2 linked regions of the Schizosaccharomyces pombe genome follow. Changing the gene in region 1 together with any one later gene gives a genetic interaction. Each region holds a gene or a part of one and is shown on either strand. Other genes may lie near its edges.

Region 1 (4,995 bases):
CAGCACTATCATTAACTGTACCTTTGCTCCAGTTTGTTAAGCTTTCAAGAAGCTCCTTTGTTACAACTAAAAGCTTCATTATCGATGTCTCGATTGTACTAATTAAATGAGACGCTGCATCTCTTGACAAAGGGCTGTTGGACGCGCCATTAGGTACAGGCTTCCGATTTGAGTCGGAAGGGACTAATCTTCGAGAAAAATTTGCTCGAGATTCAGTCTTTTGTCTTTGCATTGAATGATTGGAAGAAAAACGTTCACGAGACATATTATCGCCGTTATTAAACATTGGTCCCAATAGATGAGTAAAGCAATGATCCTAATCGCAAAAAAAGGATTGAAAGTTCAACTTAAACTTAAAACAATAAACATAAGAGAAAACACAAAACCAATTAGGTTTGTTATATACAAAACATAAGAATATTGACTTATTAGACTCAGTTGCGTAGGTTAGTACTTCCACCGAGGGCGATCGAGGTACACTAGAAATGGACTACTTGATGAATGTGCTAAGGTACATAGTAAATTGAATTTGTGAGGATTGCTAAGTAATTTTATAATATATTTACACACCTGTTTATTGTATTTAACTAACCAAACCATATATTTGTACATAACGTTAATGACAAGAACAAAATGTGAATAAACAAAGAAAGAAGTAATATGAAATACCAAAGGTTAACTCCCAAAATATTGACTTTTTATTTCAAATTGACGCATACCTCCACTTAAAAAATCTGAACCAACTAAACGATGTCGAAAGGTATTTAATTACATAATATTACAAATTAAGGGTTTCGGAGTTTTCAAGGGTTACTTCTGAAGTAGTGGGTGCTTCAGAAGTAATGTTTGCGGTTTCTGTTTTGGTAGCTGAATCATTCTCAGAGTTCTTAGGAGCACGTCTCGTTTTTTTAGCTTTTACATGATCTGAAGGTAAATCGAAATTCCGTCTTAATTTCGTCCTTAATCCAGGCAAAGCGTAATTAACCTTTTTCCGTTCCCTTCGGCTCCTTCCATCAGGTTTTTCATTTGGCTCATTGACTACTGTACTTTCTTCAGAAGTTTCTTGAATCCGAGCTTTTCTTCGCCTTTTCACTTTTGTTTCTCTTCGCGACTGAGTTTTCGTCACACGATCGTTCTCATTAGGGGATTTCAAATTCGTTACAGATGACAGAAGTTCCAAATTATTATAGGAGCCCGTATCGTTGGTAGCAAAGGAGCTACGTGACGGCTCAATTTCGTAAGGTCGATCTTCAGCATTCAATATTCCTTGTAGCGATGGCGGACGTAACGGAGAATTATTGGGATGGGCTATTGAAAATCCATTTGAAGATGGAGGTTCACTTGACAGTCTCATGGGAGGATTTCGAAAAAGTGTTAAAATTTCCCGCTCTTCGTCGGTAAAAGATTTAGGATTCAGTCCAATTTTGTTAGAGTCATTCATTATTTCTACAGAAAATTTTTCGTTCCCATTAGTGACAGAAGAGTCTACTAACCCGTTTATTTCCCTTGGAGTGTCTGTACGAGGAGATTCAGCAACAGTCATATTTGACAGAGAAGTCGTCGTAACCTGAGGCCCAACATTCTCTTGTGAAGTTAATGAATTATGCGCAGTATCTTCAGGCGCAAACTTCAACGATATGGAGCTATTTAAATTAGGATCTGAAATATGATGCCCATTTCGGTTACTTTTATTTGAAGATTGCACAAGAAGGACAGCAGAATCCAAAGAGTTTGCGCGATTGGGGCGACTATCGGTCTCCGATACATAACCGGTAACATTGGTAGCTGCAGAAGCCAGATTAATTTGTTTATTTTGAATGTCAACGTCCCATTTCCGTTTAGTGGGTGTACTTTGTATTACTGTATCAGATTGTATTCTGCTATGAAAATGAGCTTCTTGTGAACCCTCATTTTCTTCTTGAGCAACTCCATTTGCATTATCTTCTTCGGTTCTTCTTTGTGCAGCTGCTTGATTATTAATTTTGTTGGATAATGATTTTGGACTAACGATTTCGTATTCATGATTTTTTTCCTGAGGAGCAGAATCGATAGATTTATTTTCAGAAGTAACCGCTTCAACTCTATCTTCATTATTATTATTTACAGGTTTCGAATTGGATAGATTGTAAGGATTTTCAAAATCAGCTGGGAGGGCTTTGCCGGATTTTAGCTGAGGTGCTGATTGCGTGTCGGAAAAAACATTAGCTTCTCTTTTTTTTTGTTCATTTATAGCAGTTTCTCCGTCATCAATTATATTTTCATCCTCTATTCCACTTAAATTTCGTAAGGAAACATCATGCTGAGCTTGCTCAATTATTTCTTCGGTATCTTTCACGACGGATTCCTTTCAGACGTTAGATAAACATATCTGAAAAACATAATACGATTCAACTTACCTCGTCAAGGTCTTCAGAATCCGTATCGACATCGTAAGCTAAGTTAGCCTCCACTGGTTTGAAGGTGTCTGTGTTCAATTAGCTAAAAACGATATGAATTCAAACACGTACCTTGTATTTCTTGCTGACAAAGACTTAATTTTGATAAAAAATTATCTGTTTCTTCATGAAATCGATTAAGTAATGCAGCTAACTTTGTTTTGTTTTCTTCGTTTTCGTTTTGCACGGTTTCGAGTTGCTCTTCCAAGTTTATCGCTGTAGTCCTCAAATCGATATTTTCCGAAAGCAACCGTTCATTTTCTAACTGCAATTCTTTAATTCTAATTGATTGTGCCTTGCTTATTCTTTGTATGTGTTAATTAATTATTCAATTCCAACAAAAATGTATGCGTACCGTATAATTTCCTTATACTGTCGAATTTGCTTTTTTTTCACTAATTCATCAGTTGAGATTAATATAAGTATCACGTACAGTCTTCTACGTTCGGGGAAAGAGATGCTTTCGACATTATAAATAGAAAATCCCGATGTACTTCATTGACCACGTTCCCGGTGGAGGTTTAGTACTTAAACGCGGCTGTACAGCAGTATCATTATCAACAAGGTGTAGAGGTGCTGGATAGTCGAAGTACGAATTATTTGACTACTAATGATACACTCTTTGAAAAGAACATTAAAATCCTTTTACATTTACTATACTTTGAATTTACGAATAGATAGATAACTAAAGAAAGAACTACCATTCACTAATCCTTTCAGTGGTATTAATAAATGTTCAAAGAGAAAAATAATTAGCTATTAAAAATATTAATTATTAAAAATCAAGCTTGATTGAAATATGTCAAAACGAGTAGTACATGGAGTACTTAGTCGACATGTGATTTAGTCGTGAATTAATCTTGACCACGAAAAATTATTAATTAAATTCAATCAAATTATAACCCCCAACTTTCCTCTACGTTATTTTCTGTTTCCTCTTCGTCATTCCAGTTTTCCATCCAAGATTCGTCTATCTGTTCCTCTGTTTCAAAAAGAGGATTATTGAATTCATCCTTAGAGTTTTCAGTGTTTCCAACAACTCTACTTTTTGAATTTTTTTTTTCTTTTATTTCAGTGGTATCATTTTTTAACTCAAGCGACTCCTTTTTCATATCGATAGAAGGCGAAGGAGAAGCAGAAGATGAATGAATAAATTTGGACCAAAAAGAACCATTAAATTTTGCCGGTGCGGAAACATTTTCTTTTTCCCCTAAATTAAAGTTTTTTATACGGCTCAAAAATTGGTCAGTGACATCCTCAGCTGTTCTTCGTATTCCTCTAATAACGTCAAAAAGTTAGTAATTCCTAAGTGGTATACAGGTTCAAAAAAATCTTACTCGTTTTCATCAATTAGTAATGGCACCACCGATGGGAAAAGTTTGATGGCCACATCCTTTGTATCAAAGTAATTTTGAACTGAGAGGAGTACTTTTAAGGCTGCCTCTCTAGCAGGAACAAATGGGTCTTTAAGAGAACGTGATAAAGCAGCAGCTAAAACGGGTTTTCGCACCTAAATCTGTTAAAAATAAAGTCCTAACGTTTAGTTCTTCTTAGTCTTACGCTGGCATCTAAATATTCAGCAATTTTACCTAGACAAATGGTACTGTTGGTACGTAAAGTAGGATGTTGGTCATTTTGGACAACCGCTAAGCTTCGTAGTAGTTCATTATTCAATGTTTTCTTCGAAAGCTGTATACTAATTAGCAATTTGTAAGATAAGATGGCTTACTTTTGGTGCTATAATGGAAAAAACAACAATAGCATGTTCTTTTAAGGTGGGAGAATTGGAGCGCACAAGGTTCGCGAAAACTGAAAAGCTAGTGTCTTCATATATATTCTTTGGTAGCACGTCGGGATTGTTAATGATTCCGGAAAGTAGCAAGCCTCGTATGGGAACGCTTTGTTGTTTCAAAAGAGACAATAACGGTACTCCAAAGTCTTTTTCTATATCCGGTCTTCCTTTTACAATTTGAGCACATTTGAATAGAAGCTCAACGACGTCCGAATGGGTGTCAATCGATAATAGTAGAAAGAGGATGTTTAATACAACCTTTTGTATATAGTTTTTAGGAATTACTTCTAGCTTTGACGAAAGAAGTTGTTTTAATTTCACTCTATCTTCCTCTTCGTTTATTCGAACCTCGGACAAAAGTTCATATAACGTAATCAAATGTGTACGAAAAAACCCCCCAGGACGCTCGCCAAGTTTTAGAAATTCTGAAGCTAATAACTTTTGCTTTCCTTCCACATTCAACAGTTTTTTTGCAGAAACAAATATATTGGCTGGAATGTTTCCACGCTGAGATAAGTCCCCTGGCGTTCCATTATAAAGATGAGAAATGAACTTTCCCAATTCATAAGAATCCAAGTAAATGAATGAAGCACTATTTAATGTTGAAGACTGAATTTCAAACGGAACCAACCGACTCCAGTTCAGAATTTTGTCATGATTATCCTTTATAAATTGTGGTGAATCACCTGCTAAGAAAAAGTCGCCTATTATCCATTCATCTGCACTATTAAGATAAACAGAAGACATTTGAAGGTTTCCATGAACAAT
Region 2 (6,350 bases), 1.8 Mb from region 1:
TTGAAGATTCGGTTGCTTGCCGACTGTTCGCACAATTAATAAGTGGTGTTGCCTATTTACATTCTCGAGGAGTGGTACATAGAGATCTGAAGTTGGAGAATATATTGCTAGATACTAATCGAAATATCGTAATTGCGGATTTCGGCTTTGCGACTACTTTTGGGCACTTTAATACTCTCAGTGAACACTCATTGCCCACGGAAAAGCCAGATTTATTTAGTACATCATGTGGATCGCCTTGTTATGCGGCCCCTGAATTAGTGAATTGCAAGTCTGGAATGTATGCTGGCACACAAGCAGATATTTGGAGTTGCGGTGTCATTTTATATGCAATGTTGGCTGGGTATCTACCATTTGACGATGATCCACACAATCCAAATGGAGAAAATGTCCCTCGACTCTATCGGTATATTTGCAGTACTCCTTTAATATTTCCGGAGTTCTTTAAAAGCAAAGCTCGCGACATTCTTAAAAAAATTTTAGTTCCTGATCCAGCAAAACGTGTCCGAATGTCAGCAATTATGAATCACGCATATCTCCGGTCTCATGTGTCTCTATTTGAAACGTATAACGATGATGAAGCGACCTCACTGCGTCCGTCTCCCATCCGTTTGCTTTCTCAAAAATCTTTAGCTAGTGTTTCTTCAGTTTCGTCAATCAGCACTTACTCTTCTTCCATTGAATTGACTCCTCAGATCACAAAAACTTCATTAAATCGAGAAAAACCGGCATTACATGGCAGCATCAATCTTAAACACTCAACGAGGCCGGTTGTACCAATTGCAGATGGTATCTATGCTTCTACTACTCTTCATCCAATCGATAATGCTAAAAACCGCTTGGTTTCTTTACTGCGCCGTCCCAAGCATAAGGTTAAGCATGCCAAAGTTGAAACACGTGAATCTCCTATGAAAAATAAGCCAACTAAGAAACAACACAAGCGTGCATTTAGCATGTTTGAGAGGCCCACTTCTCAGAAAGCCCCATTGTCACCAGTAGAAAGCAAGATTAACCTTATGGTTGCTCCTAAACGTGTATTAAATTGTGCTTCAGATTCTTTAAGAGCTTTATTAGCAGGAAAGACGGATAAATCTTTTTGGGGTTCACGTATACCATTCTTGTTTAATAAATTGAAATCCAAACAGAAGGCTGTATCCAGCTCCTTCAATACGGAAAACTCATTTTTAATTCTTCAAGCAGTTTCGCCTTTAACTTTTGGAGGTTGTTTCAAAGAAGAAAACGCGTATGGGCAGAAGAAGCAGCACATGAGACACGCTACCGTTTTTTAATGTTTGCGTTACGATATTGTATATCTCAACAATGCATGATAATTATCAAACTGCCTGTTTCCTATATTAGTTTTTTAAAAAGATGGCTCTTCGACTTTTTCTTAAGAAAAGCGGTTTATATGGTTATCAATTATTAAAGCTTGAATTGATTGTTTGACAATGTTGAACAATGGGTTTCCTAAAAAAAGACGCTTTAGCTGATTTTTATCGTTTATCAGCGTGTATATTACTTGCCTTGTACTTTACAGTTTCCGCTTTTCATCTTTATTCTAACTTTTTATTTTAATTTTTAATTTTTTGGTACAAGCACCTTTCGTTCTTTAAACTACTTTTAAACTATTAAATTTCTTTCACTCATATGTCCTTATATCTAATTCACTCGTTAATAATATTTTATCATTACCCTTGAGTTATACTTATTAGTAAATAGTGTAATATTTTAATTACAATAAATGGAACGCGTTCTTTTACGCGTCTCTTCTTTAAGCAAGTACATTGCGAGTCTAACACGAACGTAATAAAGAGTTGAGCACCACATTTTGAAATCGCATCTTTCAAGCTTCAATATTGCGAAGTACTAATTAATAAAATCAGCCTATGGCTCTTATGGATATAGAGCATTGAAAGTTTACTGCATTTGTCATTTATTTGTTAAATACCCAAGGTGAATAGTACAAAAGCGTGCAAAAGCCAACTTTTGCGATGATAAAGTTACAGTTTCAAAGAAACATTGTCCCAACACATGACAATCCGTTAACGACTTCCGAGATTTTAAAACGACTACGTGATTTACTAGGAGAGCTTACTAGCCTATCCCAAGATACTATCGACCGTGACTCAGTATTGCCAGTAGCACGATCATTAGTAAATAACAATTTGCTCCATCACAAAGATAAAGGGATACGCTCTTATACACTTTGTTGTATTGTTGAATTGCTTCGTTTATGTGCCCCCGATGCGCCCTTCACTTTATCACAATTGGAAGATATTTTCCAAGTAATTCTCAAAATTCTTAGTGGTCTTATGAATCAAGAATCTACTTATTATCCACAAATTTACGAGATATTAGAGAGTTTGTCGAACGTTAAATCTGCAGTTCTAATAGTTGATCTCCCGAATGCTGAAGAATTCTTAGTAAATATCTTTCGTCTCTTCTTTGATTTAGCGAGAAAGGGTACTACCAAGAATGTCGAGTTTTACATGCTTGATATTATTAACCAGTTGATCAATGAGATTAACACCATTCCTGCTGCTGCCTTGAACATACTATTTGCTCAACTAATATCAGGAAAGGGCGTAAGGCAAACAATTGGCTCTTCCGATTCTACTAATCACGGTCCAGCTTTTCAACTAGCGAGAAATATTTTTCATGACTCAGCAGATCGACTACAAAGATATGTTTGCCAGTATTTCTCAGATATTATATTCGATTCAAGAGATTCGCTTTCTGACTCCATGACTACTCCAGAATTTATATTCTCGCACAATTTAGTTTTACAATTATGGAAATATGCACCAACCACGTTATTGAACATTATTCCACAATTCGAAAATGAATTGCAAGCTGAACAAACTAGTGTGCGACTTGTGGCGATAGAAACTGTTGGTTTGATGCTCCAAGACAACGCCATATGGTCCGATTATCCTAGGGTATGGAGTGCATTTTGTGGTCGGCTCAATGATAAATCAGTTGCATGTCGTATCAAATGCATTGAAGTTGCTTCCAACGCTCTTCAGAATTCATTGGCTACTTCTGAGATAATTGAAAACGTAGTTCAAATGCTTCAATCAAAGTTGGCCGACACGGATGAAAAGGTGCGGGTTGCTACTCTTAAAACGATCGAACAGTTGACTTTCGAAACCTTTAAAATGCAATTTTCAGTACAGGCTTTGAAACTCATGGGTGACCGTTTACGTGATCGTAAACTCAATGTTCGTTTACAAGCAATTCGGACACTAAGTCAAATTTATAATAGAGCATATCAAGACCTTATAGATGGTGTGGAATACTCAATACAGATGTTCAGCTGGATCCCTTCATCTCTTTTGGAAGTATTTTATGTTAATGATGAAACAACTAATGCGGCTGTTGAAATTTGTATGGCTGAACTGGTCCTACAATACCTTAGTTCTGATACGCAAACAAGGTTAAACAGGCTTTTCCTTTCAATAAAGTATTTTAGTGAAAAAGCGATGCGAGTTTTTATTCTACTTTTACAAAGACAAGTTAAGTATTCGGAACTCTTAAATTACTACATTGAGTGCTGCAAAAATTACAATGGAGGTGTTATGGATAATGATGAAGAGTCAATTACCAACAAGCTTAAGAAGGTGATTGATATCATATCATCAAAAAGTTCTAATCCTACATTAACAGAAGCCACTTTCAGAAAATTTGCGGAACTTAATGATCGTCAAAGCTACAAAATGCTTTTACAAACGTTTTCCATTAAAAGTGAATATCAAGTTGTTTTAAAAAGCATAAAATATTTATTTAAAAGGGTTTCTGAAACGTTGAGTACCGCAAGTCTTGAATGTTTTAGAATATTCGTTTACCGTTCAGCTCTGTTTGCTTTTAATAAAAGCAACGTGCATGAAATAATTCAATTATTAAATGAACCTGTAAAATACCACAATTTCCTTAAGCCGTCGGAGGCTCTTTTACAGCATTTACCGCTAATTCATCCCAACATATATGGAGAGGTTGTTATAGAAGTTGAAAATATTATAGTTTCTTCGGGCATTGAATCGGATCCTAAAGTAATTAAAGCTCTTTCCCAATTCTCCAAAAGAAAAAAAAATTTTTCTATACAAACAACAACTGCTGAAATACTACGAAAGTTGTGTCTACATGGAACACAGGAACAAGCCAAACAGGCAGCGACGATTATCGCTATAACGGAGACGAAAGAATTCAAACTCGATATGATAACGAATATCGTGGAAAATTTGGAGTATAATGGAGGACTTCCTGTACGGCTTATGACTTTAGGACAACTATTTCTATACACTTTAGAAGAGGTAGAGAAGGTTGCTGACCAAGTTACAGAATTTTTAGTAAAAAAAGTTATACAGCGCTTTCCTGAAAAATATGATGATACGCATAATGATGAGGAATGGTGTACTTACGAAAAATTAGATAATCTTACCATGTGCAAAGTTTTAGCAATTAGGGTTTTGGTTAATCGACTGAGGGCGGCGGCAGGAGGAACCGAAGCGTTAAATATTGGAGCTCCTATCATTAAGCTATTGAAAGTATTGTTAATGGCTGACGGTGAATTAAGTCCGTTCAAGAATACTCCCAAAATTTCTCGTGCTTATTTACGTCTCACTGCTAGCAAATATTTTTTAAAGTTATGTTCCATTCCTTTTTATGCGGAACATATAGATTTTAGTTCTTACGTTCAAATCTCCTTATTATGCCAAGATGAAAATTTTGACGTGAGAAATTTATTTTTGACGAAGCTTCAGAAGCAGCTGCAACTTAAAAAGTTGCCAATTAGTTATTATCCTTTATTGTTCCTGACTGCTGTTGATCCGGAAGAGGAGATCAAGACTAAAGCGTCTATATGGATACGTTCTCAGGTTGCTTTTTTCCAGAAAACCCATGATTTTACCATGGAATATGTAGCAACATATCTTATCCATCTTCTCTCTCACCATCCAGACATATCTTCGATAGAATCAGAGAACTCGCTTGATTTTATTGCATACATTCGCTTTTACGTTGACACTGTTGTTAATAGTGAGAACGTCCCAATCGTTTTTCATCTAATGCAACGCATAAAACAAAGCTATGATGTTATTGAAGATGGAAACAATTACATTTATGTGCTAAGCGACATGGCTCAGAAAATATTGCAGGTGAAATCCCAGAACTTTGGATGGAGTTTGACTACGTATCCAAAGCAAATTAAATTACCTTACGAAATTTTAAGACCAATTCCCTCTATAGATGAGAAAAAGAGAATTTTCAATAAAATCTTCATAACGCCTAAAATGGAAAGTCAGATTGAACATGCTATAAGGACACCAGTCTCATCTTTTGCGAAACAGACTACCAATAAGCACGCAAATTTGAAGCAAAAGAAGACTCATAGCTCAAAGAGCGATAAAAAATCGTCTAGAAGAAGGAAAAACGAAAAAAGGAGAAAGCTAAATGAGCAGAATCCTAATATTAGGAACGTGCCAGAACGAAGTAGCTCAAGATTTCAAGGGATTCGTATAAATTATTCGGAAGCACCGTCTTCAAGTGAGGAGATAAGCGAAGAAGAGGAGGAAATTAGCGAAGAAGATTTTGATGAAATAGAGGATTTATAAAAAAGGCTTATTTGGATGCGAAATACCGATACTAGAACACTTACCCAATATTACCAATGAATTTTCAATGTTAATTAGATAAATTGCTATCTTTTTTGTTAAACAATCTATGCTTGCTAATTGCCTAAACTTTTGAAAGATGACTCCATCACATACATGCCTCCATAACTTCTGCATCTATTAATTTTTTTCATTCCTAGTAATATAATAATAAAAGTTGCATTTTTGAGTTTTTTTACGCTTTACAATTCGTAAAATCTAATAGTGAGATTGGATTAGCCGCTGTAGTATATCTTAATAAAGCATGGCTGGGCGAACTAATTACGGTGACCGCACAATATATTTACCTACAACCAACACCGGTGTTTGATACTTAGGGGTTTGAACTTTCTAGGAATTCAATAAAGTGAAGCAAAGCTTTACGATTAATTATTTTTTGTGAAATAGTATGCCCACCATTAAGTGTGTCGTAGTAGGAGACGGTGCTGTAGGAAAGGTGAGTTGATGTTTACGGAAGGTGAAGTTAAGCAATGCATAAAAAAATACAAGAATTGCTATCATCTAAAATGAAGTTTCTTTTGTCTATACATTCCCCTTTATTTCTTTCTTTCCAAAAATTGTTCTTTTGAGTTTTACACATACTGACCGTTTGAATGTAGACCTGTCTGCTTATTTCCTATACTACAAACAAGTTTCCTAGTGACTATGTGCCAACTGTATTCGATAATGTAAGTATAATTA

Evidence for each region. A genetic interaction does not mean that the proteins touch.
Region 2: mutations in sgo2 (region 1) and pds5 together harm fitness more than expected from each alone (negative genetic interaction), as found in Schizosaccharomyces pombe (3 studies listed by BioGRID, with this or other methods).

Annotation. Positions count from the first base shown.
Region 1 is NC_003424.3:3,712,097-3,717,091, reverse strand, and holds sgo2 (shugoshin Sgo2), read right to left. Parts: upstream 2,951-4,995; 5' UTR 2,906-2,950; coding exon 2,869-2,905; exon of another isoform or gene 2,831-2,868; coding exon 2,791-2,830; exon of another isoform or gene 2,741-2,790; coding exon 2,508-2,740; exon of another isoform or gene 2,465-2,507; coding exon 2,397-2,464; exon of another isoform or gene 2,345-2,396; coding exon 779-2,344; 3' UTR 507-778; downstream 1-506. Other genes in the region: bud6 (actin-interacting protein 3), read right to left, coding at 1-286; protein kinase domain and HEAT repeat protein Ppk3, read right to left, coding at 3,332-3,713, 3,773-3,945, 3,996-4,124, 4,165-4,995. UniProt on the Schizosaccharomyces pombe protein: Involved in chromosome cohesion during mitosis and meiosis by preventing premature dissociation of cohesin complex from centromeres after prophase, when most of cohesin complex dissociates from chromosomes arms.
Region 2 is NC_003424.3:1,910,051-1,916,400, forward strand, and holds pds5 (mitotic and meiotic cohesin loader subunit Pds5), read left to right. Parts: upstream 1-1,797; 5' UTR 1,798-1,991; coding exon 1,992-5,609; 3' UTR 5,610-5,847; downstream 5,848-6,350. Other genes in the region: serine/threonine protein kinase Ppk1, read left to right, coding at 1-1,289; Rho family GTPase Cdc42, read left to right, coding at 6,058-6,105, 6,269-6,337. UniProt on the Schizosaccharomyces pombe protein: Required for the establishment and maintenance of sister chromatid cohesion during S phase. Prevents their formation until eso1 is present. May also have a role during meiosis.